Lytechinus pictus: one gene and its partner. The protein of the gene in region 2 interacts with the protein of the main gene of each other region in a pairwise test. Links are inferred from orthologs where the notes say so. Each region holds a gene or a part of one and is shown on either strand. Other genes may lie near its edges. The genes, in order: retinal rod rhodopsin-sensitive cGMP 3',5'-cyclic phosphodiesterase subunit delta-like; ras-related protein Rap-1A-like.

Region 1 (15,938 bases), on a different chromosome or scaffold from region 2:
ACAAAAAGTTTATTGTTAAAATAGCAGAAAAAATAATAAAAAATATTGCCGAAGGTTTGAGAAAAATTCATCAAATAATTAAAAAGTTATTAGAATTTCAATTATTTGATTTGTGACGTCATATGCGAGCAGCATTCCTACATAGCGAATGGTAAAAAAATCAATAAAATGTCATTTTCTCAGAAAATTGAAAATGGTTTTCACTGTACCTTTTGTATATCAATAGACAAATCATTTCACACCCGATCATGAATAGAAAACAAAATTAAGTCATCAGGAACCATACAAAATTTGAAATTCATGCATTTTATATTACATAACACATGGGGCAGCTGCTCATTTATGACGTCACAAATCCAAAACTTTGAACTCTAATAACTTTCTTACTCTTTAACGGATTTTCCTCAAACCTTCACCAATATTTTTTACTATTTTTTTCTGCTATTTTTACAACAAAGTTTTCTTCAGGGTGAACTTCCCGTTTAACAGTCTGGGACTGACTTTTAATGTCACTGATCCCGATCCGGAAAGACGTGGTCAAGCAGGGCTTGAACCTCGAACCTCTGCATCAACTTGTAAATTCCCCATGTGTAGTTTGGATTACAGGCACACGCCATAATGCCCAGTTGTATTTGTGCTAGACTTGTATGAAGACCCACATGTTAAATGATCAGAGTTTCAGTCAGGGTCTGCGCCTTCAGACTATCCTTCTACCTACAAAGCAGGCAAGGCAATCAACCGGATGGAAATAGTCATTTACATTGTACATGTATGATGATTATTAAAGCAGTTCACAAAGAGAAAAAAAATATATATTGATTCCATGCACCTGCAAACAGAAGAGAAATGGCAAGATACATACATGTACATGTAGCCTACATGTAGGCATATTCAGACCACCTCAAATTTCAAGAATACCACCTTTTCTTTCCTGACCTTGCCCGATCACTAGATACCAGGTACAGTGTATTATTGCCAATGTGAAAGCAAAATATTGGTGATATTCCTGAAAGAAAATACCCACTATTAAATACATGAAGTAGGCACTTGCCAGTATTACAAGAACTTTTGCCTGTTAATAATGTTATACCGAGGTTAATAAATCAACTACAACTGGATCTAATGTTATACCGAGGTTTTTTACCTGACTGCTAAGAAAGCATGAATGCCTGTGAGCAAGCAACCAGGGGATCAAAGGCTTAAGGTCCTCTCAGAGGGACCTGGTAATGAGGATACATGTAAAAGCCTTACCAAAGGGCACTAGCGCACCATTTGGGAATCGAACCCGGGTCACCGGAATCCAAAAGCCCCGTGCTATCGCGCCTCTATGAACAGCATTAATTTTTTTATTATTCACGTACACTGTATGTATATCCAGTTGGATGAATTTCAATTAAAAACTATTGACAATGAAAATTCAAGATACTGTACTGTACATGTACGTGTATAGTATGCCTGCAGGCACAGACCCTGATTGAAACTCTGATCAACAAGGGGGTCTTCACACAAGACTACATTATAGCACTGAGCAAGAGGTCCTTTAGTATACACGTCATTGTAGGCTGCATATTCAGACCAAAAACTCAAGTGGAGGGTCGCCACAGCAGATTAAATACGATGTAGGCTTTATGATGTATGCATTGGGAGTTATATACTATGGCCCGTATTCTGATAGCAGGTTTAACTTAAACTCAGGTTTAAAGTTGTGGTTTAAGTATGGGAAGCCAAAGTATCAATTTTTTTTATTAAGTTGCATGTTTCTTATGTTTACTGTGCTCTTTCCTGATTCATTGACAGTGAAGACAGTCATATATTTATACTTCCTAGACAATTATGAAAGATTTGAGAGCCAAATGAGCTAAAATATGATATCTCTACTGTTAGTGATTTATGTAAAAATTGGCTATCCATACTTAAACCACAATTTTAAACCTGAGTTTAAGTTAAACCTGCTATCAGAATATGGGCCAATGTAGCAAAGTACTGGCACGTAATTTGAATACCAAGGCAATGCAAAGTCAATCAGTGTGTACATGTACTCTGGCTGCCATGGAAACCAACAGCTACTGCCATGATAGAAATTGGTCATATACATGTATAGTGAGGTGGTGTCTTTACAATTTGTATGTACATACATGTATATGTACCCCCCCCCCCCAAAAAAAAAAAAAAAAAAATCACCATCACAATCATCATCCCCCGGACCCCCTTTGCTTATAAAAATGATAATTTGAATAACACTACCGATTATTACAACCAATATTGCTTGAAATTATTATATATTGAGCTGTGTGAAGACACCTTATTTTCATTTTTTCCCCTTGTTTCAAAATACAATTTACGTACATGTCAATGATTCAAATGAGAGCTTCATGTACATGGAGTAGAATATGTAGAGCTTGATATTAATGTTTACACTTGCTAGCCCCACTATAACATGTACAGGTCTGCAAACACAATGTACATGTACAGGTACTAGGGCATGGGTTATTCAAACAAGATTTATCAAACTTGATTTACAGTTGATCTATATTTCATTAACACTGTAGGCAAGTCAACTCCATGATGTCCATATCATGAGCTACACTTGTATGAACACTTGCAACATTGTTTCTTTTAATGAAATGTACAAATATAGCGTGTACAGTACTATATTACTATCCATGTACTGGTAATCATAATCAGCATCTCTTTGAGGTATGAGATTTTGAGGATTTTATGTCCCAAATGTACATGTACATGTCAGTGGGTGATCAAAAGCACTCGAGATAGGGACATTAAACTTTGCCCCCAAAACTTCCATGCTTGGGCAAATAATGAACGGATTCGGATGGGATAGCATCAAAGCAGATTATAACATGAACTACATACATATATATGAGGGTGCATCACTGTATAGTGGTTCTGACTCTCATCTTTCAAACAGAGGGTCATGGGTTTGAATCCAAGCCATGGCGTGTTTTCCTGCAGTAACAGATTTATCCACATTGTGCTGTACTTAACCCAGGTGAGGTGACTGGGTACCTGCTAGGATTTATTCCTTGAATGCACGGAGCACTGCTGATAAAGCGGTAGCTCAAGGTAAAGTCGGGGTAATAATAGGTGAGCTTTGTATCCAGCTATGCCTGTAATTATTATTAGCGATTTTAAAAGGCATGAGTGCAATTGAATGGTACAAGACTTTGCATGAAACAAAGACCCCATTCTCAGTATGCACTTTCAAAAACTTGCTTGGTGAAAATGGTTCACGAAACCAGTAGATTGCTATGCTAGCGTTTTCATCTAATCACCCGAAAGTAGTTTTCTAAAGCACTTCACGTAACATGGTCTTGTTGCTATGGGAACGTCTCAGAGGGGTGACTTGTTTCACGTGAAATGTGAAACCACATTGTAGAAATTCTACACAAAGTGTGGAGAGTAGTGCGCCAAACATTGTGCAAAGATCACTTCCCGAAGAACAGTTGTCCTCACCGACGCTTAAACTTAAACTAGGGCAAAGCGGTCTTAAAAACCACACCGCAAGGTGGTTTTCCAAACTGGTTTGAAAGATGGCTTCGAGTGTTCCCATTACACAATAAAACAAATTTCCACTAAACTAGTTTAGGACTTTAATGAGAATGGGGTCAAAGATGCTCAACCATGGACCTACATGTACATGTATATTCAACACGGTATAGTATACAAATATACAATGACACTTGAGGATCTGGCTAAAACTATTCGCATCGAGGGAACATCACATAGTACTATACTCCCGAGGGCCATCGCCTTATTGCTTTATATCCCTTCCACTCAAACCATTCCTCATCGTTTTACCACGATCGATATTCTTCATTGATACCCGACTTTTACAGCGAAACGATTTTTAATAAGTCGATATAGAACAATCGTTGAGAAGTTGAGAAAATAATAAGTCTTGCCGTATGAATCGTCTGTTCAGCGAGCGCACCTGGTTAGTGCAGGGGGGGGTCAAACAAACGTATAGTTCACTTTTTCCCTAGGGAAAAAATGGACTATGCGTGACGTCAGCAAGGAAAATGAACTATTTCATGGCAAACGTTTTTCGTAGTAAAACTATTCTTTTTCTCCTTGTGTACACTCTCAATACAACAATCTTAAAGGAGAAGGAAACTCTTGGAGCAAGTTAGCTTTTGTGAAAGCAGAAAAATCAAAGAATAAGATCAACAAAAGTTTGAGTAAAATCGGACTAGGAATAGAAGAGTTATGAGCATTTGAATGTCGAGATCACTAATGCTAAGGAGATCCTCCCATTGGCAATGCGACCAAGATCTATGATGTCACAGATGAACAACTCTCCCCTTTTGGACACTGAAAATATACCCCAAAACATCTCTTTTTGCTCATTCTAATCATATGACAAACGATTCATCAATGATATAATGTTGTGAAACCTCTGTACTTGTCCTCTCATAAAGAGAACACCTTACATTGTGATAGACTCTATAAAAGTGAGAATATAAGTGAAATAAGTACTAAAGTAATGAGGGAGTTGTACGTGTGTGACATCACAGATCTTGGTCGCATTGCCAATGGGAGGAACTACATGGCATTAGTGATCTCAATATTCAAATGCTCATAACTTTCTTATTATTCATTCAATCTTCCTCAAACTTTCAACAATATGTTTCTTTGATTTTTCTCTTTGATATGGATTCAGCTGGTTTCAAGGGTTTCATTCTCCTTTAAGTAAGGGATATAATTCAATATATAGTCCAACAGAGCCTCTCTCTTTAATAGTTCCATGACATTTGCACCCCCCCCCCAACAATTGCTCTGCTAAAACACACTAATCGAAAAATACTAACTTCAACCCTGTAACCTGGATTGAACACTATACCCTACCCTAAACCTAACATAAAACCCTAAACCTAGAACACGAAACCCTATTGCAACCCTAACTCTATATCTTAAGGCCACCGCACACCTTACGACTGTTCGCGATCCCATTTTGGAACAAATCGCATTTTGCTCATTTCCCGAAAATGTGAATGGAACATATCATTTTATTTGAGGTTAAAATTAATTGAAAAAATACTAATATAACCATTTTGAAAGATTGCAAGCCTTTATTTTGGAGTAAACGCAAAATTAGTTTAAAATCGTAGCCAATCGTACGACTGCTATGACGTCATTATGACTAAATATTAAATTTGCTTTTATTCTAATATGCTCTTCACATTGCATTTCCTTAACCCCATATTATCCTTAACCCCGGACTATCCTTAACCCCATACTATCTTTTTTTGGATTCACACTGTCTTTCTTAACCCCATACTATCTGCTTAGCCGGGGTTAACGCCTAAACCCCGGACTATCCCACAGCTCATGAATATTGATGATTTTACCATACAGAGCGTGATTAATGTGCAATTTCGACTTCTGTGATTGGCTATTGCTTAGCCCCACTTTTCCTTAGCCCAGTTTCGTTTCACACTGCATCTCTTAGCACCGCAATTGTGGTGCTAGCACCACAATAAGCCGGCTAACCCTGCTTTTTTGCAGGGCCAGATAGTACTGTACTATTTACCGTGCTAGCCCACTTTGCTAAAACGTAGTGTGAAAACGAAGTGGGCTAAGCTTAACCCCAGGAAATTGGTGGGGCTAAGGCCCCCCTTAGCCCCACCAATTTCCCGGGGTTAAGGAAAAAAAAAGTACAGTGTGAAAAGCATATAAAAAGGATGATAGCATAGTCACAGATTTGAACATAGGTATTCGTACAATGATTTAGAACATTACACAGTAAGATATTCCATGTCTCAATATTAGCATCAAATTCTAGGTTTTATTCCAAAATCGGATCGCAGACCAATCGTAAGGTGTGCGGTCGCCTTTAGACAAAATAAAGCCTGTCTGCCGGAGGAATTGTCACAGGAAAAAATGTTGTGTCACACCCCTCTTTCATCAAATTTCATACAATTGGATGAATACGGAATAGGCATATTCGCTATACAGTCAACCTGTCTATTCAGGCCACCCCAAAAAACAAAACAAGAGTGTTGCTAAGGCGAGCACATAATACGCCTGCCTGTAACACGGAAAATGGAGTTATTGGTCAAGCAAGAAAAGTGGAAGGTGGTGACTTCACCTTTGACCTTCTGACCTCAAAATCAATAGAATTCCTGGGATCTATGCTAGTATCGTACACACCAAATACATGTATATGGGCCTAGGTTAAGTTAAACTAAAGTCATCGCGTTAACAGGACTTCAAAAGGGTAAGATGAAAACATGTCACTGTGATCTTGACCTTTTGACCTCAACATCAATAGGCTTCCTGGGATTCATGCCAGTATCATACATGTACACACTAAATTATATGAGCCTCTAGAGGTTAAGTTAAACTAAAGTTATTGCGTTTACAAGGACTGCAGAAGAGTAAGATGAAAACATGTCATTGTGATCTTCACTTTTGACCTCAGGCTTCCTGGGATCCATGCTAGTATCATACACACAAGTTATATGAGCCTAGGTTAATTTAAACTGAAGTTATTGCATTTACAAGGACTGCAGAAGGATGAAGGTGAAAACATGTCACTGTGACCTTGACCTTTTGAACTCAAAATCAATAGGCTTCCTCAGGGGATCCATGCTAATATTATACACACCAATTTATATGAACCTGGGTAAAGTTAAACTGAAGTTGTAGTGTTTACAAGGACTGCAGAAGGGTAAGAAGAATACATGTCACTGTGACCTTGACCTTTTGAACTCAAAATCAATAGGCTTCCCAGGATCCATGCTATTATTATACACACCAAATTATATGAGCCTGGGTTCAGTTAAACTGAAGTTATCACGTTTACAAAAAAAAGTTAATGGACGGACGGACAGACAGATGGACACTGAGCATGATACCATACTACGTCCCGTAGGACGGGCGTATAAAAAGTGATCACTACATGTTATTCTTTGAATAAAAGACGTATTAAAGTGATGAAAAAAAAAAAAAACAGAATTGATGAACAGAAAATGATAGTTAGCAAATCTACTCGTCCTTAAAATGAATGAAGTATTACTGATTAAAAAAAAACAATACACAGAAAATGATGGAAAGCGAATCTTCTTTGAATAAGACGTAACTGATGAAATAAAAAAAATACAGAATTGACGAAAAGAAAATGATGGGAAACGAATCTACTCATCCTTTGAATGAACAACGTAACCGATTAAATGAAGAAAAAAAAGGTTAAAAGACAAATGATGGAAAGGGAATCTCCTTCTTTGAATGATGTAACTGATTGAATAAAAATACAGAATTGATGAATAGAAAAAAGATGAAAATACTTGTTCTTTGAATGAAATACGTACCTGATTAAAGTTTTATAAAAATACAGAATTGATGAATAGAAAAAAGATGAAAATACTTGTTCTTTGAATGAAATACGTACCTGATTAAAGTTTTATAAAAATACAGAATTGAAGAAAAAAAGATAAAAAAGGATTATCTACTTGTCCTTTAAACAGAAGACGTCATTGTTAACATAAACACTGAAAAATAAACCATGGAGCTACATGTAGCTCCATAAATAAACAGTGGAAAGAGAATCTACTCGTCCTTTAAGCCAAAGACGTAACTATATCTGGGTCACTCAGCCAGGAGCTGCGCACATCGATTTCTAGCGGGGACGTGTCTTATGCGCGCGCTCTAGGCAGTTTTTCAACCTGCTGTCTATCGGGTTGATATGCGTGTATATACTCATTCTAGCGGGTTGACAACATGTTACCCATCTTGAGGAGTCCAAAAAATGACGGGTCTGCTTCGAGATTGCGTCGTGTTTTGACCAAAAAGTGCCTAACGGGAAAATGCGCATCCCGCAAAATCATGCCAAGTTTCTTTTTCTCTGTATTGTACTTAAGAGCCAAGTTATATGATCATGATGATTAGCTGCAATGGAATCAGACAGTGTCAAACAATCAAGCATTTGTTCCAAAGAAAAAGAGAAAATAAACCAAACATTGCCAACCTTATTTTGCCACACATGGAGTACTAAAAACAGAACAAGGTTATAATTATATCATACCCTTGTTCATTGAATGAGTGGGTCTAATGAAATATTTTCAATTTTTTGATAAAAAATCTAGATCTAGGCCTAGCCCTAGATAGTAGATCTAACTTAGGCCTAGTCAGATCTAGATTAGAATCTAGGCTAGACCAAACGCTACGGTCTCTGTCATACTGTATTGGTTGTTCCGCTGAACTCCGTTGGCTCCACTCACCAATTACAGAGACCGAAGTTCTAACTCGATCTGTACAGGGACTCAATGGCCATATGTTTATGTATTAAGTTCTGATGAACCAGGGAAGCGGGAGTTGCACTACAGCCGAGTCACTTTTTTCCCCTTTTAAGTTTATTTTTCCCTGATTTGGTGCATTTCTGGCCAAAAAGTAAAAATAATCTTTATTTTGGTCCAGTTCTTTTTATATATTTTTATGAAATAAAGACAAAAATTGATGAGCCCCGTCAGGGGTATTTTGCATTGTTAACCCCCTAAATGTGGCTGCACGATCGCGAGCCATCTGAGTACGAGGAGAATTTTTTTTAATGTTAAAAAAACTCCTTGAAACAGACGGCTGCCAGCTGTCTAAATCTACACAAGACTTGGAATGAAATACCTAGATCTAGTACAACTTACAAGTCAAGTCTAGAATAGTCGCCTAATAAAAAGATTATAAAATGGCTTACATGTATCTGTAGTACTGAACGATAAAAAGTGTTAAAATTCATAGGAAAAAAAAGAAAGAGTTCATATGCACCCCCACCAAAAATAACAAGATTGTTGAGACTTCTGGTTTGTTCACTTCAGATTTTTCTATCATTTTTTTACTGTTGCTTTCCTTAGTTGGGACTCACCTCGTTTTATTTGCAGTCAAGACCGTTCCCGCTATGCTAGTGAGAAGCGCCGATACCGGAAGTGGTATTTTAACGATTATCAAACGATAGTTCGACTAGTCTCGACTCACAGACCCTTACTGACTAAATAAACCGATGTCTATGGACAATTACACGCACTAGATCCTGCTCGAAATTTGACGGAATAAAGCCATATTTTGGTATGTATTTCCACTCCCTCATCACATAGATCTATGTTCTATATTTAGGGCTAGATATATTATTCTGAACCTTCTCCATGTTTTTATTTTCAATTATAGTGGGGGTGCTATGGAACTCTTACCCAAAAAAATGGCCCCCCCCCCCCCACGCCCAATCTGATTCTGACTTAACCCAGGGAGCTTACCGTGTATTTGACCATACTCACGGGACTAGCGTGATTTATGGTCTAAATATTTCTCCAAATGAATTGTGAAAACAGAAATTATGCACTTACATGTAGGCCTACCACGATTATATGGATGAAGGTCTAACGAGTGGCAGTTTCCTGACAACGAGGCACAGACTGGAACTTCAAAAAAACGAAAAGTTCTCTCCTTCTACCCCCGTCTCAATCAGCCATTTTTGTTATGAATCGTAACAAAATGGCCGATCGAGACTGGGGTTGAAGGAGAGAACTTTTCGTTTTTTTGAAGTTCCAGTCTGTGCCTCGTTGTCAGGAAACTGCCACTCGTTAGACCTTCATCCATATAATCGTGGTAGGCCTAAGTGCATAATTTCTGTTTTCACAATTCATTTGGAGAAATATTTAGACCATAGAGCCCAGGGGCTTACCGAGTAATTCGCCATACCCCACGGTAGTAGCGTGAGGTATGGTCTAAATCATTTTAAGAGTAAATAGTTAAAACAGAAATTAAGCACTTACCACGATTATATGGATGAAGGTCTAACGAGTGGCAGCTTCCTGACATCTAGGCACAGAGTGACAGACTGGAACCTCAAAAAACGAAAAGTTCTGTCACGGTAGCTTTCCTTCTTTCAGAATTCATAGCAAAATGGCTGTTCGAGACCGGTACCGAGGGTGTAGGGCGCATGCGCGAATTTGACAAAGTCTATATGCGCTAGTGCTATAGCCTCGGTCTCGATCGGCCATTTTGTTTTGAATTCTGAAAGAAGGAGAGCTACCGCGACAGAACTTTTCGTTTTTTGAGGTTCCAGTCTGTGCCTCGATGTCAGGAAGCTGCCACTCGTTAGACCTTCATCCATATAATCGTGGTAAGTGCTTAATTTCTGTTTTAACTATTTACTCTTAAAATGATTTAGACCATACCTCACGCTACTAGTACCGTGGGGTATGGCGAATTACACGGTAAGCCCCTGGGCTCCGGCCTGCTGCGCGGGCCGGAGCTCCCTGGGTTAGCTAGTCCCGTGAGTATGTGATTTGGAAAAGGATACACTTTGAAACCTTTTAAAATATCTTCTGCTCTACTAGGCATTTTGACTAAGGGTTCGTTGCAATTTATCTCAAACTGAAAATAACATTCAAGATCCAAAAATACGTCTTCCAAATTCCGCAATAGGATGTCAATGGGCCGGTGAATTCGGGCCACCACGCAGGCGCAGGCTCGGCAGACGGCACAGCCACAGGTCGGGTCGAAGCTCAATCCACGGGGGTCCTCTCGTCGTCTCGATCAGGCAACAACGAAAACTTAAACGACGTAGATGTAGATCTATACAAGTGTTTTCTTCAATTGGTATCAACACTGTTTTTCTGTAAGATCGTTCCAAAAAGCACAGTTGGTTATTCACAGTGGCCCATATCCTTGTACCAAATTGAATAAAACGTAGACTTGATATTGATGGTAGTCGACCGGTCGATGCTCAACTCCATCCCTTATTTCATGCATTGCATACTTCCTTTTTGCTAGCTGCTATAGGTAAAACAATCTCTAAGTTTAATCCATTACTTTGTACACAAGTCTACGTATTTCGGGATTCAGATTGTATGAAGTTAGCAGCTAGCTTTCTGCAGCGTTAATGTCACCCGGTAACAGCCGCATCACTCTAAACTATATCATTCCGCTTGGATCGTTTTCGTTTTATTTATAATTTTCCCAATTATGAGGTAAAATTTTTTGAGAAAATGATCGTCAGATATTTTTTTATTGAATAAAACCCAATATAATTTCTAAATACATTGGGATTTAGTATCCAAACCTGCTACATGGGATTATGTTTCTGTGTGTAAACAGGGTGAATTGATACTTAAAATTGCGCCAGTAGATGTCGCTCGTTCTAAATACTAAAAAAACTATATAGAGTGGATTATTGTAACTGGGATCTTCCTCCTCCTCCTCCTCCCCCGGGGGGGGGGGGGGGGGAGTCAAATACTACTGTACACATGCGTGACCAAAAACAAACGCGTATAAAGGGGTGGTTTTTTTTTCAGTTTTGGACACGGGCCGCAGGATCAAAAACACCGATTTTTAAGAAAAAGGGTGGTTTTGAAAGACTGGTCAATGGTCAATCGCGATTGATTTGGTAGTGAAGACCTTTTTTTTGGTTGTCAAAATTTTCCTGTACAAAATGCCCCCAGGCTTTCGGAGAATCCTCGATCCGTACCTGATATACAAGGGGCCGCGGAACGGTTGTGAAAGTGGGGGGGGGGGCTGACCATGCAAAAAATCATAATCAGATGGTAATTTTTACGTTTTTGTACACGGTTTTTGAAAAAAAAAATCTGAAGCCCCCGGCCCCCGCAGCCCCCCGTTTCCGCGGCCCCTGTATACAGTGCGTCCCAGAAAAAAAGGAAACCGTGATTCAGTTTAAAGTTTTTCCTATCATGATCATAAATTTGCTTCATAAAATGTACATGAATGGAAATATTATGCTTTCGATCTTCTTTGAATTTTTAGACCCATCTTAACGTTCATAATGCTCGCATGAGTGAGTTAGAACGATAGAAAATGATGCTATACCACATTTTCATTTGCACGAGCAGATTACGATTTTGGGTGAATTTTTTCTTTTTTTACTGCTTTTACTGCTATCTATTCGGAAATATCCACCTTTTCCTCTTTCATAATGAGACCTTATGCGTAAAATATGAATGATGCATGCATTGGCCGAGAAAAGTTGCACGAATTCGACTGATCGTTTGAAAAACAAGCATTTCGTTTTCCCATCAAAGCAGAAGACAATATAGGCTAACGGTGAATACTGTTCGGGCTAGGAAAACTCCCTTCATTGTTGCTGACCTGAGTCTATGGCTACGGGAATTCAATGTTACAATCGCAATAATTTTCATATTTTCTTTTCTTTAACTTCCCCAGTCGTATAATTCGTTGTTACATTTCACAGGGGTGGTAGACATAATTTAAAAAGTCCACAAATAATAGGGGGGACATTTGATATTGGGTGCCCCCTTTCCAAATGGTAGGGGGAAGCGCCCCCTGTCCCCCTGGGATTTCCGCCCATGTGCAGCACAACTCTCTATGGTGCAGAAAGCTAGACATGAGAGTGACATGGAAAAGATATAGTCATTTGAGCTGTGGGTCTGTCTGGCGCAGAATGCTCCAGGTCAGGCGGAGAGAGGATAATAATAATGATGATGATAATAATGATGATAATGATAATAATAACTAATAATAATATCATTATCATTATTATTATTATTATTATCATTATACTACTACTACTACTACCAATGATAATAATAACAATAATAATAATGATAAAGTGAAAGTCACTCTTGATCCACTCTTGATCCATGCAATTTAGAGTGCTTTGATATAGGATTGTAGTGTTAATTTATATATTTTACTCACAGAGGTTTATTTATTTTGTTATTATTTTTTTACTTTTCTTTTGTTTGTTTATTTTGGCTGTTTTTTCTTAATAGTTTAATGGGATATAGGCCTATCCTTTTTGTAATAAAAAAAAACACTTAAAAATAGTGTTGCAATCTTTATATTCTCTAAATTTTAAAGGATTTAAAATAGAACCAGGGGTCCGTTGCAGAAAGAGTTGCGTTCAAACGCAAGTCAAATAATCAATCGCAAGCCCATCGCAAGTCCCAAATGCGCGCTGTTGATTGGTTGAAAATCAAGTTGCGCATGATTTTTAGAGTTGCGATTGATTGCAACTCTTTCTGCAACGGGCCCTGATCTGCTATGAATATAGTGGTTACACTTCGTAATTCCGAAGATTCTTTATTCCGAAGGTTCGTTATTCCGAAGAATCGTAATTCCGAAACACGTAAATTGCCTATACCTCGATGTTCGTTAATCCGAAAACGAAAAAGGGTTCGTTAATCCGAAAATTTGTAGCGTTATTCCGAAGATTCGTACTTCCGAAGGTTCGTTAGTCCGAAAACGAAATAAGATTCGTTATTCCGAAGGTTCGTTCATCTGAAAACGAAATAAGGTTCGTTGTTCCGAAGGTTCGATAATCCGAAAACGAAATAAGGTTCGTTAATCCGAAAACGAAATAAGGTTAATCGTTTTTCGAAGGTTCGATAATCCGAAAACAAAATAATGTTCTTTATTCCAAAGAAGAGTATAAGCGTGGTGGAGGGGGGGGGGGGAACACCGTTGCTGTTCAATTGTTATGAGGATGTGGAGGCAAAAAGAAGAACGGCGGAGCAAAGTAGAGCAAAGCCTTTTTTAAAGAGATTTCTGATTATGGTAAGATATATATTTAGGCTTTATTTTTCGCGAGAGAGTGTAACAAGCGAGCGGTTTGGAAAAGTTTTCAAAGCTGATGTTGTAAAGCTCGTATTTTTGTCAACTGTCAATAGGGCATCCTTGAAAGGTGTTGCGAGCGTAAATCGCAAGCTCAAACTTTTGGACATTTCAATAAGAAATGAAAATAAAACATTCTGAGCAGTTTTTGCAATCATTAAAAAGATGTGCATCTAACTGAAGAATTAACACGAGCGCGAAGTGCCAGCCGAATAATGACCAGAAAAGGAACCTGTTAATTAAGGACATGCGTTTAGTGACTCATGAATAGGATACATCGAATAATGCGAGTGCGAAGCGCGAGCTAATAAGATATTTTAGTTTGCAAACTGGACATTCTAAGCCTTTTTATAACCGAAAATGGTGAGTACCTCACTAAACAATGAATGATAACAATGACCAAAAAATTGGGATTTTCTAATCTAAAATGAAAAATGTATACTTTAAAAAGGGTATTTCATAAAAAAAAACGGCACATTTTATTTTGGAAAATACAAGGGAATTTCCCATTTTGGAAAAATAGTATTTCGTTCCTACGGGGTTTATTATTGTTAGTTTTTTTTTGGGGGTGCAAGTGCCCCCTGTGCCCCCCACCCGCTTTCACCGCCCCTGGGGGAAGGGGTTGATCAATCGTTATCAGGGGCGTTTACGTACGCAGAATTCTCTGAAAGGGATGATCATAGGCTTATGAGGCTATAGTTCATGTTTTCTCTCATTGCTAGACCTGCAAATTTATTTGATTATTCATTTTATTTATCCAATTTAAACGTAAATAAAGGTACATGATACAAAGGCGCAAGGATCAAACTGAGCATGTTTACGATAAGTACAACTTAAAACACAGACTACAGAACATCAAACAAATAAAATATAAATGCATTCAAAGAGAAAACTACTATTAACCTATTAACGAAAACCAGTATGAGAGCAGATAGAAGTTATCAAATCAAATATCGATAGGGGCGCGTTGATACATTTTTAAATTGTTTTGTCAAAGTTGAAAATGTCTATTAAAAGATCCATTCTTGATTAAAATGTTTACCACTTATAAACCCAATTTTTTTAATCGCTCTGCGGGGGGGGGGGGTTGATTGTTTCTACCAGAATAGGGGTGATAAAGACCCCTTTTTTGTCTTTTTCTTAACATTTTCGGATTAACGAACCTCATTTCGTTTTCGGACTAACGAACCTTCGGAATTACGAACATCATTTCGTTTTCGGAGTAACGAACCTTCGGAATTACGAACCTTATTTCGTTTTCGGACTAACGAACCTTCGAAATTACGAACCTTCGGAATTACGAACCGTCGGAATTACGAACGTTCGGAATACTCGAACCTTCGGAATAAAGAAGTGTCGGAATTACGAATGTATGCGAATAGGGTGACCAGCCGAACATTGGATTCACCTTCATTCCTAAGGATTGACCTTTTTTCAAAAGATTTCAATTTAAATCCACAGTTTTAAATCTCAAGCTAATTTTCGGCCGGTCACCATTCCAAGCATTCAAATCCGATCTGGTTTTATTTATAATTCTTATAGATTGTGACTCTGTCTTCGCAATTCATCATCAGTTATAAAGGTTACACGACAATTTTGCTCCTGCGACAATATTGCTCCATTCTTATTATCTCAGAGGGCATATAGAGTTAGGGTCACTAGCGTACCTACGGGGGGGGGGGGCAGAGGGGGCAGACTGCCCCCCCCCCTGACGAGTCACAACCCATGCAAGGGACATATCCCTGCCCCCCTGACGAGTCTTGAAGACCTTTTTTTTTTCTTTTTGCTTGTCAAATTTTTTTTCTGGTACGAAATCCTTAATTTGTGGTTGAAGACCTTTTTTTTTTTTTTTTTTTTTTTTTGCTATATATAGAATTTGCCCCCCCCCCCCTGTGGAAAATCCTAGGTACGCCACTGGTTAGGATTGTATTAGAGTTTTTGGTTTAGAATAATGTATAAAAAAAATAAGGATTAGGGTTTATTCAGTTCTGTAGGTTAGGTTTTATGTTTGGCTTAACGTGCAGATTTTCCATCGGAGCAATTGTCGCCGGAACATACGTCATGGAACCGTTATAAATGCCTACATTTGGTGACCTTTTGAATACGATGAGTTTTGTTATTAAAACCTCATGATTTATAAAACCGACATGTATTTGCTGAATTGCTTGTGTTTTATTTAACTTACACTTGACATTACTATTGTTTGCCTATTCTCAAGAAATTTGAATTTTCTCCTTTGGCTTCATATATTACCTCAGGTTTATACACCATTTTCACTTGTCTTTATTCAGATTCAGGGCGCGGGGGGGGGGGGGGGCAGGATATTTTGACCTGGGGGAGGGGGC
Region 2 (15,938 bases):
AGTACAAAATGAAACAAGTAGAGTTATTATACAATCATTTCATATATTTATTGGCAAGCTCAACATCATAGATTTATTCTTTTATAAATTTCTTTCAAAGCTCCTTTGTTAATGTAAGGCAATATTGCTGTCATTTTCCAATGTAAAATTTGATTTAAAAACACTTTCTGTTTGAATTTGTATTAGAGATTTGCTTTGAATCTTAAAATGATCTGACAAATTCTTTTTCTCTTACTCTCTTTGTTTACGATCAAACTTTGTTTGTAATGTTGAGAAGGGTATTGAAATTTTGGTTAAAAAATACAAACTGTGCATATGACCTATTGTCGTTTACAATGAATTTCTACCTATAACTTATGTTAACAAATCTAGTCATAGATAACAAAATACTCAATGCTTATTTTTCTTGTCTACAACATAAAGTAAAAAAAAAAAGAGTAAAGATATCAATGAATAATTATTAAGATGATGACAAAGTATACATATATAACATTTCGAGATAAATAAGACCTATAGCAATTTAAATAATGCAATACTCACTGAGACATATTTAATATTAATTGGAAGAGCATGCAGACATACAAACAAACATAGGTACATTAATAAAGGGAGTTCATTTAACAATCTGTTTTAAAAATGTCAATCATATTTTTGATATCATTTGTTTCAGCTGCCCAGTACTGAACTAGGATTACTATTTGAACATACTTATGAAACAATATTCTTTTTTTTTTTTACTCTCAAAAGAATTTATGCTATATATCCTGAATGGCAGGGATATAAGTATAACTTAATTAAACATTGTTCTCATTCCTAAGCTAAAAAGCTATTTGGTAATACACCACCAGGAAAGTGTTATCAACATTTATCAAGTCTGATGACTTTCTTTGATTTTGATTGGCTGAAAAGCACAGATGTCTAACTATTACGATGGTAATTGTCAGATAAAACAGACTTTATTGTCCTCTAATGTCACACTATCAGTACAATGCAACAATACTGTACCAAGTGTCAGGAGTGCGATATTGTAGTGTATATGAAAAACTGATTGTGAGATGAATATATCTCATCTCAATTATACAAATTATGAATAAGTATGCCCTTTCCCCTCATTCTAAAAAAATGTTATATGAAGAAATGGAGAAAACAAAGTGGTAATTTTAATAAGGGTACTGGATGAATAAGAATGGTATGGACTAGTAAGGGGAATGACATGGGAGAACTGACTTTTCTACTCAAAGATATCAAAATATACAGGTAGATCTAAAATTCTCCTACCAGTACACTACATTAATTGCATATCACCAAAGACCATCAGATAATCTGATGATGCAATTGATGTTACAATATCAAACAATGTGCATACATAGCAACAACATAGGGTTGATCATCGCAAGTTGATATACAGTCCCAGACTAACTAATTGGAATTGACCAATGTGAGGTCCTCAGAAATGACTGACTTTATTACAAGTAACTTCTTGCAACTATTCCTCTTGACCAGCTTCAAATATAAAGTCTAATTCAGACATGAAAATGCAAATGATTTAAAGATGATAAGATCAGTGTGATGTACATTTGAGATGATTATTGAGTGTTTTCTTCTGTGCCCCTTCACACCCTGCATTGTTATCTAACAAGGTTTTGCTGCTGCCAATTTTTTTACATGAAATCTGAATGAGGCATTACAAACGAGGCTGAACAAAAGACATAGTTTTATTAAATGTATAATTTGGGACTAGGGTGCAACAATGTAATCTAAAATGTAGTTAACAAGTGATACATATACTGTCCTATGTTATAGTCAATTACATGTACCAAAATTTGTACAGTTGAACAATACAAAACAAAGCAGAGTTGAAGGCTTTTGCTTTTTTTTCTGAATGTACAAAAATGATCCCAGTAATACTGGTCCCATATAGAAGACCCCAACACTCAATACAGACAATCTTTGCAACTTTTGTTTGTCAGTTCCATCCACTTTCTCCTTTTTCAACTTGAACCAATCTTTCCCAAACATTCTTCTTATACTGATTTTTACCAGTCTTCAAGGCTTATATTATAAGTATGTGGAATATTTGTTCCTCTATTAATCAAGTCAAGGGATATTAATAAAGAAATGCAGCTTTCATGTAAACTCTTGCATCTATAAGAACAATGATATGTTTTTAGATGTTTCTGAGTTTTCAAGTATAGTACAGTGCTATAACAAACAAGCATTGCTGAGTGGATAAATGTTATCTAATGGCTAGAAAACGTAAAAAATCCTTGTTCATTGTCAAGATTTCCTCTATTTTCATGCAGAAGATTTGAATAATATCACCTCTATGGAGAGAGCACAAATCACCACAAGGGCTACCAATATGATGAAAGTGTTACAAAGCATGTTCAGAGTCATTCTCTATTAAAGCTGCACAGAATTTGTCAGTCACAAACCCGATGGATTGTTTAAAGCTCTTACAAAATCCTCTTTTCACCCCGTTTCATTCCATCAAACAAATATTTTTTTTCATCCCAAACAGCCATTTATTACACAATTATGCATTTCTTTCTGTCACCCTTTCCTCCTTTTCCTGGTTTCTTCCGTGATTCTGGTGTTAGTCGATTGATCTGTCTGACTAGGTCATAGAAGAGGTCATTAACATTGACCTTGGCTTTAGCTGAGGTCTCCAAGAATGTACTGCACAAGATAAAAACAAACATTGTAGAACATGTATAATGCTGACATCAAAGGTAGTTAATCCTTTTCATTCAAAGCATTACAGCAAGGGGGCATTTCATGTAAGTTTTCAGCACTATCTTAATTGTCAGTGCTGACTTTTTAGTGAGATCCTTGGCTGAGAGGCACTGGCCTCTGACTGTTACTATAGTATCAGAGAAATTCAACTTGTCAGTGCTGACAACTTTCATGAAACAGTCCCCAGATCTAATAAATATGTAGTGTAAATGTAATACAATGAAACAGTTTCATAGTGGGGTGGTAAAAAAACTAGAAATACATTCATTGCCTGATTATTTGAGGTGTTAGGTATCATATTGGATGTGGGTTTATGCATACTTGATATTTAAATCACTGGACTTTCTCCTCTTTATGATAACATGTAAAAAGAGGTACACTTTACATGTATATTGAAAACAGAATATTTGAGGAATTGGACATTGCATACAGTATGCAAAAAAAATATTGCATGTATTATTTATTGTTTTACACATGCATTGATAGCACTGTAAGCTACTTCTAATATTCTTACCCCCCAAAAAACAATAGCGTTTAATTGACAACATTCCTGCTGGGTCCATACAAAGTAATAGTGAGAGCATTGAAACATATCTTTCTTTCTTTCTACAAATTAAATGTGTAATATGGGAAACTTAAATATTAAAACTAAAAATCCCTTTTTTATGATAGGAATGTTGTTATTTAAATATCTCAATTTTCTCTTCAAACCCCAAACCTAGCAGATGCATCCTTGCTGTAATGACTGTAGAAAGTAATAAAGTCACAGCTGTTTTCTGCTATGACTTTAAACAATTTTTGTTTCTGGGAGTTTGCCAATGAGGTACATAATTAGGGGGAAAAGGGAAAAAAAGCCAAGACCTAAATAGAACATGGATCCCATTCCACACATGTCTGTATTAAAAAAGGATTGCAGGAAAATATTTAGGATACACACCCCTTTAATGGCAAATAAGACTTCAAAATTCATAATCATTATGGCATTAAAAAAATCATAAATGAAATTAATAGCTTTGAAATTCAACCCCTGATATTAACATTTAAACTATTCAGTTTAAATCTTTGCATTTATCTTGACACAGAATATACATACAATCTAGAACAGGAAACAAGTGGGAATCACTAACATTCACTGTAATATGGATCCAAACATTTTTCCAGTTCTTGGAGAGAAAAAACTTGCATATCTAAAACAGAATTAATGTTAAAGTGACTTAATAAGTTCAAACAGTTATTACACCTCACCACAAACTTGAAGTGAAATAATAGGAGCGAAGAATGTACTGGATGTCTGTTATATTGACCTCTACTTTTATCATACCATTTAATCTCTTAAAAAAATAAAAGATCTTTCTGCACAATTTATCATGATCAGGATTTGTAAAAAGCTACATCAGTTGGTATGAATTCAATGGGTGAGAGAATCTATTTATATCACAGGTGACTCTTTTCAATCTTTGTTTTGAACACTAAGCAGGTACTCACAAAAAAATGAGTGTTTACGGTAATTGTTCAGTATTTTGGGGATGTATAGTGAAGTCTTTAATGTGGTTCACTACTATTCCTTTAAAGATATGATAGTAAGGGTCTTTTAGTTTGCATGATGAATGCTTCTACGATAAAAAAATTGACAAGCAGAACCATCTACGCATGCGTCATCTATGATTTGTGGGTTCATAAAATCAATGTTGCACTACAAACAACAACAGGACCATAGAGTTTTAATCATGTGGTACTTTTCGATACAACATTAGTACACCCTCATCCTAAAAAATTAAAATTGGATAGAAAAACCGATCGCTCAATAGAACAGATATAGTTGCCAACCAAGGTAGAAGCATCCATCGTTTAAAATATAATTGCTGTAAAAATAAAATGTATGGATTGGTGTACTTACCATCCATTGAATTGCCTTGCTAAGCTGGCTCCCTGATCCTTTCCTACTACTCTCTCATCTTCTAAATCACATTTGTTTCCTACAAGTACCATGGGAACCTGAAAGGTACATCATAACAACAGTCAAGGGGATGTTTTAGAGAATATAGTTACCATCAATGTACAAAAAATGTGTAAAAAAAGAAAAACAACAATAAATGATAAGCAAATATATGGTATGAAATGATATGAAATTTTAAAAGAATTGAATTCAACGAATAAAAGAACAATAAAAGCAGGGTGAGAAAGCAAATAGGGGAAATAAAAGCATTTCTCATTGAAATTAAAGGCATATTTTTATAAAAAATTACACTATTTATGTAATAGATACAGCAAAACAAAATTACTTATCTTACTTAAAAATATGAGGGAGGATTACTGACTTGGCATCATAATGTCTATGAATCTTCCAATATACATGCATGTGCACCAAGACTTCTTTCCTCAACAAAATATTTGAATAACAACATTCTTGAAAGTCAAACATTTATAGCAGGAGACAATGTCCTAAATGACACGAGTCTCCCATTACAAGCTTTATCAGTGGATAAGTGCTACCTGCATTATTTTCAACAAGGTCATATTAAACTGTATAGTGTACCACATGTATGAAAGCATTCAGGTAAACAAAGGTGTATTAGTCTGCCGACTGATAGGTACTCACATTATCTGTGTCTTTGACACGTAGAATCTGCTCTCGTAAATCATGTAGATCATTAAAGGTAGATTGTGCTGTGATGGAATACACAAGAACAAAACCCTGCCCATTCTTCATGTACAAATCTCTCATTGCTGTAAATTGTTCCTGGAGACATAAAAAGAAAGGAAAAGAATAGAAATAAAAAGATTACTTGATAAATTATGTGAGTATAAAATGAGCCCTGGCTGAGAATATAAAGTGATTTGTACTACTCTACAATTTATTTCATTTTAACTTTAAATAGTTTGTATATATAACTACTATTGTAAGAATAATAATTTAATAATATAACAAAAATCAAAACAATTTTATAATAATGATAATCATCTTTCCTCCAAATTCATTTTGAAGAGTGCTTGCAATGTATATTTAAGAAGTTATTTCATAACCAAATAATGATGCATGCAATGTGTTCATGTCAGAAATGAGATCCCCCTTTAAATCAATCATAATTTAATGAATCATTCTTCCTATAAACTGTCATTATTTTCGCTTTATGTCATTTTCACGTTCTTGGGCAAAGGAGTTCACGTTAAAAAAAATTAAATCTAAAAAAATTATTTTAAAAAATCGGAATTTCAATTTTAATCGGGAGAATATCATGCCTGGTATATATAGCAAAGGTATAATCATAAAATCAGCTCGACCATGAAGTCATTTCAAAATTGTGAAACAAACACTACACACATTTTGTTTCACAAAATGTTTTATGCATGCAAATGTTCGCAGTTCGCAAAAATGAGAAAGTATTGATTGTGATTAATTTTGGAAAAAAAATATGTTCTTATTTTCACACACGCACACAAAAACCAACAAAACGTCTTTGATTTCAAGGTTATAGGCTTCAACTATCTCTAAAGGGCACATTAAACAAAAACAGTCCGGAAATATGTTGTACAATATAGTAATACATGTAAAATACACTTCTGGTTGGAGGGATGATCCTCATCCTGTACATGGAGGTCTATTGGAATTTGATGTGTGTGTGTGTGTGTGTGAATTCATTGCAAAAGGATAGGGTATGGATAATGGATATCCGATTTGCTCAACTTCCTTTTTTATAATAGCTATTTGACTGTATTTTTCAACAAATAGAGAGAAGGTATTACGATAAAACTGACTTGATTTCTGACCAACATTCACGCAGGCTTCTAAGATACAAAACATAATACAAATAATAATTTGTCACAATTATCCAATTTCATATTTCCCCCCTTTTGTTTCACTTAATATCCACATTCATTTGGCATTCTTAGTTCTTCCAGGTATCGCATCACGGTTTGATCCACATTTTATAAAGGCTGCTCTACAAAAAGTCTTGTTTTGTTGCAGATTTTTACAAAGGACTGTACTATAGAACCTAGATCTTTTCTCTTATGACCAAAAATGCTGATGAAATTACAAATGCAAAATCATTCTGTGTATTACATGTATTTAGCATGATTTATTTTTCATTCCTGTTCATTTAAGTATAGTAAGACTGTAAAACAATTCAAATGTTTGTATAAAAGACACCTCCTGATTACTTTACCTGATTGTTCTGATTGATGCAGATGTACAGTAATTCACGTACCGCACTTTTGTTCTTACCCTTCGTTAGTTTGTATTATACATTTTTGGAGTTATTTCATCTTTGTATGTTACTTATACTGTAAGGGGTCATTTTTAATAAGCCATTATTTGTGTTTTTTATGATCTTCCACTAGAAGTATTATTATGTATTGAATATGGCATTGTATTGATTTATATATACATGTATTGTTGTTTTTAAAAAAGGAAATAAATTGAAATGAAGAATGTTTCCATTTGTATTTATGTATATAGATATATACATTATTCTTAAATTTTCATTTTGTAACTTACACCTTTCTTTTATTCAATCGTCACTCTGTTCATCCCTTCCATCCATTGTTGTTTGTTTGTTTTTATATTTTTTTTGGGGGGGTAACTTTAAACTTACTGTGCCTGCTGTATCCAAGATCTCGAGCATGCATTGTTGTCCATCAACTTCAACTTGCTGAAAGATATGAAATGATATAAAAAGAATTGATTTGAATGTATTAAATATTATAATATCACAATGTCATATTAGTTTGATTTTTCTGAGTCACATTAAAAAAAAAACAACATATACATTTTAAAGGGGTACTGTGGGCTGAAAATAACTATATAAATAGAGTTAACTTCGGTGAGCAAAATGACGAAAATTTCAACAAAATATGATAACAAATAACAAAGTTATTGAATCTTTTAAAGATAGCAATATTTTGTTTTTAATAATACACACGTTGTCATGAGTATTCATTTGGTCGGCTGATGATGCCATGTCTCCCTTTTTTTCTCATGTTATTACTTGAAATCATCATTATGTCATATTTTCATGCAAGAGTGTATGATATGTCTCCCTTATGATAAAATAAGTTGTAGTAATAAACATCTAATCAGTTGTCAACCCAATATTTTAATTAATTTTAATAACATTCATATTTCATATTCCATATTTCATATGCTAAAATACGAAATAACAAGTGGGGATATTACATCATCATTTTGCTCATCAAATATCCATTAGCACATATATGAATAGAATGTTTTACCAATTTGTACAAATAAATCAGAAAAATAACTTGCTACTAAAAAAAATTAAGAACCCTGTGTTCTCATTTCTATCTAAAACAGTGCGATGCCACTTTTATTATAGAACTGATTACAGTTAATACTTGCACTTTAATCTGGGATTCAAGTTTCAACAGGCATATTCAATGTAACCTTCATTATGTTATAATTTTACATGTAATCACAAACAAGAGTGTCGCTAAGGCGAGCACATAATACGCCCATCTGTAACACGGAAAATTGAGTTATTGGTCAAGCAAGAAAAGTAGAAGGTGGTGCCTTCACCTTTGACCTTTTGGCCTCAAAATCAATAGAATTGCTAGGATCTATGCTAGTATCATACACACCAAATTATATGAGCCTAGGTTCAGTTAAACTGAAGTTATCACGTTTACAAAGACTGCAGAAGGGTAAGATGAAAACATGTCACTGACTCACTGTGACCTTGACCTTTGACCTTTAGACCTCAAAATCAATATGCTTCCTGGAATTCATGCTAGTATCATATATACCAAATTATATGAGCCTAGGTTCAGTTAAACTGAAGTTATCGCGTTTACAAAGACTGCAGAAGGGTAAGATGAAAACATGTCACTGTGACCTTGACCTTCGACCTCAAAATCAATATGCTTCCTGGGATTCATGCTAGTATCATACACACCAAATTATATGAGCCTAGGTTCAGTTAAACTGAAGTTATCGCGTTTACAAAGACTGCAGAAGGGTAAGATGAAAATATGTCACTGACCTTGACCTTTGGACCTCAAAATCAATAGGCTTCCTGGGATCAATGCTATTATCATACACACCAAATTACATGACCCTAGATTAAATCAAACTGAGGTTATCGCGTTTACAAGGAAAAGTTAACGGACGGACAGACGGATACCGAGCGTGATACCATAATACGTCCCGTCCTAGGACAGGCGTATAAAATATTCTGAAGTTTGACACCAAAATCCAAAACATTACAATAAAGCTCACAAGTATGACAGGTCTTCTGCATTAAAGTGTACATGCAATACATTAATAGATATTTGCCTTCCTTTTAATGCTGCTATCCATGTATCCCCCTTCTACAAATTTCCCTTTAAACTTCCTTCATCCCTCTCTATCATCCTTCTCTCTCACTTGGCTCTCTTTACACTAGGGGAAGTCATATCAATTATCCATTTCCTTTCTTTACTTTCCTTTATCATAAAGTGTTAATAGGGATCCATACAATTAGAAATCATGTTGTGATCTTTAAAATGCAAGTATCACTCCCAATCCATTCTGAAGCAGTCTGGGGTTTTTTTCCAACAGAATATATTGCTATTAATTGCCTATTTTTTTGGTTAAAATAATCCATATCCAATACATGTTTGGTTCCCCCCCCCCCCCCCCTCCCCATCATCTGTTCGATTCAAACAGGAGAAAGAAATCACTGGTGAGCAACACTAAAAAAAATCATTGTTAAGACACAGCTCTTCAGCATGACTACACGTATGCAAAAAATAAAAATAAACTATTTAAGCCCAAGTATTTTTTTAAATATGGAAAAAGCATTATTAAAGGTATGTAATAGGTAATCAGTTTCCCTAAAAAAAAAGTATTTGGGATGTGTCACTGGACTCTATTATACAAATGTATTAACACACATATTGTATCAATCTACATGTACATGTAGGCCTATATGTTTATACTTTTATGTGTGCATAACTGCTTATCAATAAAAAGCACTAAATATTTCCTGGGTGTTTGCATGGTAATATCAACAATTTACTTCCTTGAAAGATATTCAAGTACAGCTTTTGGGGCTTATTTCCTTTCACAGCTCTTTAGGATTTTGAAACACAATCAAGATTCAAGGATGAACTTTAAAACAAGTGGACAGCTCTGGCAGTGTTGCCTGCATCATACATGTAGGCCCTATATTCAACGTGACGGTGACAGCAGTGCTGAGAAAGACGAATAAATTTCACATAGGGGGAAAGCCCTAATTTCACATGTCCAAGTTTCATGAAACATAATTTTTACAAACTTAACCTTGGTTTAATAATAAGTTGATACCAGAACATGGTTAAAGTTAGTGACACTAAATGACATATGACCTTGATCATGCTGAACTGAACTGCATGAAAGATTATCAGTGATACTTGATTTATGACTACATGTAGGCCTACAATGATACATATTTCACAATCAGTAGGTGGTTTCAAACCGCCTCGATCACAAGAATCCCCGTTAAATTACGAGAACATTTTAGGCTAAAAAATACCCATTAATTAGTCCTGCATTCAGACCGCCCCGAAAAATACACTTCGGGATAAATTCCTGAAGTTAGGAGCATGCGCAGTATGGTCTAATAAGCAGGCAAGGCGCGAGATTCAAAACTACTAGCCCAGCAGCCACCCACGGCGCCGCACCCAACGACACGCTGGGCTAAAAGTTCCCGTAATTTGCTTTCACATCGCCAAAATACCTGCGACCTTGGAAAAATCCCCGCGAAAGTTCTCGTAATTTCGCCCAAGTACCTACTATTTAGCGGGTATTTTCTTTCGGGGAAATTACGCGTAGTTTGCTTTCACATTACCAAAATACCTGGTATTTTCTGATCGGGGTAAATTTCCCGATCAGAGAATACCTGGAACTGACGAACTTCGAGGTGGTCTGAAATCACCTAGTGAACAGATAAAATCTTCCATGATTTTGTAAAAGGGGGTTTCATAATTTCAATGTTCCATGGCCTACTACAGTATGACACATATCAACAAGTTCGGTGGGTCATATAATTATCCTATCATGATAATAAGGCCTATACATGTATCTCCACAGTATCATACATGTAGCTACATGTAAACCAGGAAGCCTGCCCCAGTCATCTGTACATCCACATTTGTAACGTGACAGAGATATATATATGCAAGTCCACAGTGACAAGGTTATGCCATTTACTGGTATAAACAAAGGAAACATCACCAACACTACAGTATCAATTAGGATCACCAGCTGTGGTGTTCTTGTATCATTATATACAGGTAGGATTAAAACAGGAAGCAGGATGCTTTAAAGGAAAATGAAACCTTTGGAACAAGATAGCTTGTGTGAAAACAGAAAAATCCAAGAAACAGATCCACGAAAGTTTGAGAAAAATCGGACAAATAATGAGAAAGTTATGAGCATTTGAATATTGCGATCACGAATGCTATGGAGGTCCTCAAATTGGCAATGCGACAAAGATGTGTGATGTCACTTGTGAACAACTCTCCCCCATTGATTTAGTATATATTTCACTTAAATTGCCTCTTTTATTACATCTATCCGTAGATCATGTGTTCTTTCTATAGGAGGGCATGTAATACAGATTTTGAAAGAATACATCATGGATAAAGAGTTTGTATCACCATAAGAAAAAACAAAAGAGACTTTTTGAGGGTATTTTATAGTACATCAAAGGGAAAGTTGTTCACATGTGACATCAAACATCCTTGTCGCATTGCCAATGTTAAGATCTCCATAGCATTAGTGATTGCAATATTCAAATGATCATAACTTTCTCATTATTTGTCCGATTTTACTCAAACTTTCTTTGTTCATATTCTTTGATTTTTATGTTTTGACACACGCCTACTTGTTCCAAAGGTTTCATTCCCCTTTAAGCTTCTGTGGGATATACAAGTAGAGGTCATTTCAGAGAAATACCATATTAATATCTTGACACTGTAAATAGAACTACTACTACATGTAGTACATGTACCTGTACATTCAAAATACATATAGGCCCTAAATTAGACAGTCTTGTAATTTTTGTATAAATGAAAGTGTAGAAATGGATGCCATCAATATTCACACTTCAAAGAAAAATAATGTAAAGAGTTAAAAAAATATTAAATTAACTTCAATCCTAAGAGATTATCGAATTATTTTCATTTATTTTCACTTTTTACAGCATGTCACTGTACATGTATATACAAAAATCTATTGTATTTTTCATTCAGCCATTTTAATTTTTCAAAAGGGGTAGATCTAACAGTTTTTAAAGGACAAGTCCACCCCAACAAAAAGTTGATTTGAATAAAAAGAGAAAAATCTAACAAGCATAACACTGATAATGTCATCAAAATTGGATGTATAATAAGAAAGTTATGACATTTTTGCTAAATTTCCCAAACAGTTATATGCACATCCTGGTCGGTATGCAAATGAGGAGACTGGTGAAATCACTCACCCACTATTTCTTTTGTATTTTATTATATGAAATATTCTAATTTTCTCCTCATTGTCATGTAAAACAAAGTTTTATTCCTCACTGAATATGTGGAATTGCCACTGTTTTAACATTTTCTGGTTCAGTAAAGTTGGTCCTTATTGTCAAATTGGTAAAATTGAAATAATGTATACGGTAATTCAAACAAAAGAAATAGTGAGTGATGGACATCATTGACTCTCTCATTTGCATGTCACTGAGTTGTGCACAGGGTTGGCACGTTTTAAACGGTGTGTTTTAAAACATGTTTTAAAACGCGTTTTAAAACACCTCATAGACTTGTGTGTTATAAATATGCATGGATGTGATTTTACATGAATATATTTTTTATACTTTTTTTCTTAAGTGGTGTATTATTTTCTTCTAACTAAATCTCTTTCTCACCACCACTCTTTTTCTCCTCTCTCTTTCCCCCCTTATTCTCCCCTTTTCCATTGCTTTGTCATGTTCCTTTCCTCCTGTTCAATTATGTAGATCAATCTATATATTCTCATTTTAACAAGCATTTGAGCGTTGTGCTCACTTTTAGACAGGGATAGAAACACTATTTAAAATAAGCTCAAATATGTAATAGTAGTACTTGAATGAAATGGAAGTGTTGCACAAGCACAATAATATTTTGCTAATAGACAGTATAACTGACATCGTAACCTTGAGGTACACACGAAAGTAGTCGAAACTTTGCGCTTTGTAAAGATGAAGAAAAGTAGTTTAATTCAGAATAAGATAATCAGCTAGCAAACCTTAAAGGACAAGTCCACCCCAAGAAAAACGTATTATGCTGAAAATTTCATCAAAATCGGATGTAAAATAATAAAGTGATGACATTTTTAAAGTTTCGCTTAATTTCGCAAAACAGTTATATGCGCATCCTGGTTGGTATGCAAATGAGGGGACTGATGACATCACTCACTATTTATTTTGTATGTCGTTATTTTCTCATTGTCATGTGAAATATATTTTTTTTCCTCCCTGAACATGAGTGGAACTACCATTGTTTTAACATTTTTTGGTTCAGTTAAGTTGGTCATTATTATCAAATCTGTATAAATTGAAATATTTTATTGTTCAAACAATTAAAAAAACAAAAGAAATAGTGAGTGAGAGACATCATCAACTCCCTCATTTGCACATCACTGAGTTGTTATAAATGTTTTGTGAAAAATAAGCGAAACTTTAAAATGTCATAACTTTCTTATTTTACATCCGATTTTGATGAAATTTTCAGCATTATGCTTGGTTGAATTTTCTCTACTGATTCAAATCAGCATTTTTCTGGGGTGGATTTGACCTTTAACCCTAACAATCCCAGGGGACTGTAATGGCCCCCTTAAAAATTTCTATGATAAATCCATAAGAACAGCAGGGCCACGCCATATTGTTCAAGACTATTTTTTTGATACATGCATGGATATGCGGTTATGATATTACCATGGAGCTATCAACACATTGATAGCTCCATGATATTACACAAGTAAAGCCAATGCAAATTTTTCGCCAACATTTTATCTGTATCAATATTTGTACTTTTTGTTAATGATTGGAAAATTGTTGCCAATAATTTCCATTAAAAAACGATAAAAAAACCCAAAAGTAACCACAAAACTGTACATAAGAAATTTAAAAAAAAAACAGTTAAAACAAACATTGAAAAAAACAATTTGATTAAAATTCCTCAATTAAAGAAATAAGCAGTTCAAGGGCCTAATATTTATAGATTGAAACCCAAACTTATATTTCATGCACTTGTGGGTACCCGGTAGGATGTGAAAGTCATTGTAGCTTGTCCAGTACTGTGTGCGCCTCACTAGCGACTGACTGGAATACTACCCAGGGAGTGGAGGATGTGCATACATTGTGCGCGGGAATGACTGATTGAATCCGATGACTGGGTTAATAATATATCTGTAAAGCGCTTAGACACGTCGTTCCAATGTATTAAGCGCTATATAAAAGCGGACTATTATTATCATTATTATTACTTAAAATTTGTATAATTGATACAAATGAAATAAAGCATATTGAGTAAATGAAATGAAGCTTTGAAAGCCTATAGTCTATAGATTATGTTGTTTTCTTACATAGTGCAACTTCTTCTCACCCCTATAGATTGATAAGACAAAAAAAAACCTGAGACTACATGTATGAGGAATAAAATGTTGATTTGAATAAAAAGAGAAAAATGCAACAAGCATAACACTAAAAATTTCATCAAAATCGGATGAAAAATAAGAAAGTTATGACATTTTGAAGTTTTGCGTAATTTCACAAAACAGTTCCTGGTCGGTATGCAAATGAGCAGACTGATGACGTCATCCACTCACTATTTCTCTTGTATTATATAAAATATTTAAAAATTTTCCTCTTGTCAAGTGAAACAACGTTTAATTCCTCCCTGAACATGCAGAATTAGCATTGTTTGATACTATATGGCTCAGTCAAGTTGGTCCTTATTGTAAAATCTTTAAAAAAAATGAAATATTGTTTAATTCAAACAATAAAAAACAAAAGAAATAGTGAGTGATGGACATCATCAAGTGTCTCATTTGCATGTCACTGAGTTGTGCATATCACTGTTTTGTGAAAAATAAGCGAAACTTTAAAATGTCATAACTTTCTTATTTTACATCCGATTTTGATGAAATTTTCAGTGTTATGCTAGTTTGATTTTTCTTTATTTATTCAAATCAACATTTTTCTAGGGTGGACTTGACCTTTAAATATGGCAAAATTCATCATCTTGCATAATAAAACATATGCCTATGAATGTATTGCACTCATGTACAGTTCATCATCATCTCAACAGAGCAAACAATTAACTGCATTACATCCCGCTTGAAATCAAGCAAGAGGAAGGCAATTTTTTTTTTCATAGAAATTGTATCATCTTAAAATCAACAAAATTCCAGTTACAATCCACAAAATGAAGTAATACCCCTTTCATAAACCCATCCTCCAATTAGCCGCCTAAGAGTAATGCGGATAATTCAATAAAAATTGCGTTCACAAACTCCGAAAATAATCCGCACTATTTTTACGAGCGCCCGTCCTGAAAAAGGCGGATAATCGTCATGGCAACCGCACACACCCCCTCCGATGTGGTTGTGTTGGGAAAAGGTGACCTTGTGACCGCACCATGGCAATTATCCGCATTACTTTGAAATGCGTTCTTTAAGTCAAAATCTGGTCCCGATGCCGCTATTATGCGGATAATTGCAGCATCAAAATAATGCGGATAAATCTGGTCCTCCTCCGATTTTACGACCAAATTATGCTGCTTATTAGCCGCATAATTGGGTTTATGAAAGGGGTATAATTCTGCCCATTTTCTTCTCCTGCTCTTATCATTCTTGTCAATTATTTCATGTCAAATACATATACATGCATATTGAACATACATGTATATGGTTTTTCTCTGTATTACATGTACACATTGTAATTTGCTTTTCTTTATAAATATTTATAATGTCAAAGGATGTGTTAATGCTTCCACTGAGGGGACAGAATCAACATTTTCAAACGTCGTTTCAGAATGCCGATCACTAACGTGGTTCTGGGAGTGCTGTTAATGCTTCCATTTTTCTGCAGCTGGCTTCGCATTGTATTTTTTGTTGAGCAGGAAAGTGAGGTCAAATTTGGCACGCCCTTTTTTGAAAGTTTTTTTTCTAAGTGTTGTGATGGTCGACTATTATTTTAACTTCG

The links.
Region 1: the proteins of ras-related protein Rap-1A-like (region 2) and retinal rod rhodopsin-sensitive cGMP 3',5'-cyclic phosphodiesterase subunit delta-like interact in a two-hybrid assay, tested with the Homo sapiens proteins (2 studies listed by BioGRID). The link is inferred for Lytechinus pictus from reciprocal best matches to the Homo sapiens genes RAP1A and PDE6D.

Annotation. Positions count from the first base shown.
Region 1 is NC_087258.1:10,977,814-10,993,751, reverse strand, and holds the start of retinal rod rhodopsin-sensitive cGMP 3',5'-cyclic phosphodiesterase subunit delta-like, read right to left. Parts: upstream 10,902-15,938; 5' UTR 10,348-10,901; coding exon 10,307-10,347; intron 1-10,306. UniProt on the Homo sapiens protein: Promotes the release of prenylated target proteins from cellular membranes. Modulates the activity of prenylated or palmitoylated Ras family members by regulating their subcellular location.
Region 2 is NC_087247.1:78,806,253-78,822,190, reverse strand, and holds the start of ras-related protein Rap-1A-like, read right to left. Parts: upstream 7,411-15,938; 5' UTR 7,362-7,410; coding exon 7,332-7,361; intron 5,477-7,331; coding exon 5,336-5,476; intron 4,732-5,335; coding exon 4,634-4,731; intron 2,680-4,633; coding exon 2,529-2,679; 3' UTR 685-2,528; coding exon of another isoform or gene 671-684; 3' UTR 1-670. Other genes in the region: zinc finger CCCH domain-containing protein 13-like, read left to right, coding at 671-684. UniProt on the Homo sapiens protein: Counteracts the mitogenic function of Ras, at least partly because it can interact with Ras GAPs and RAF in a competitive manner. Together with ITGB1BP1, regulates KRIT1 localization to microtubules and membranes.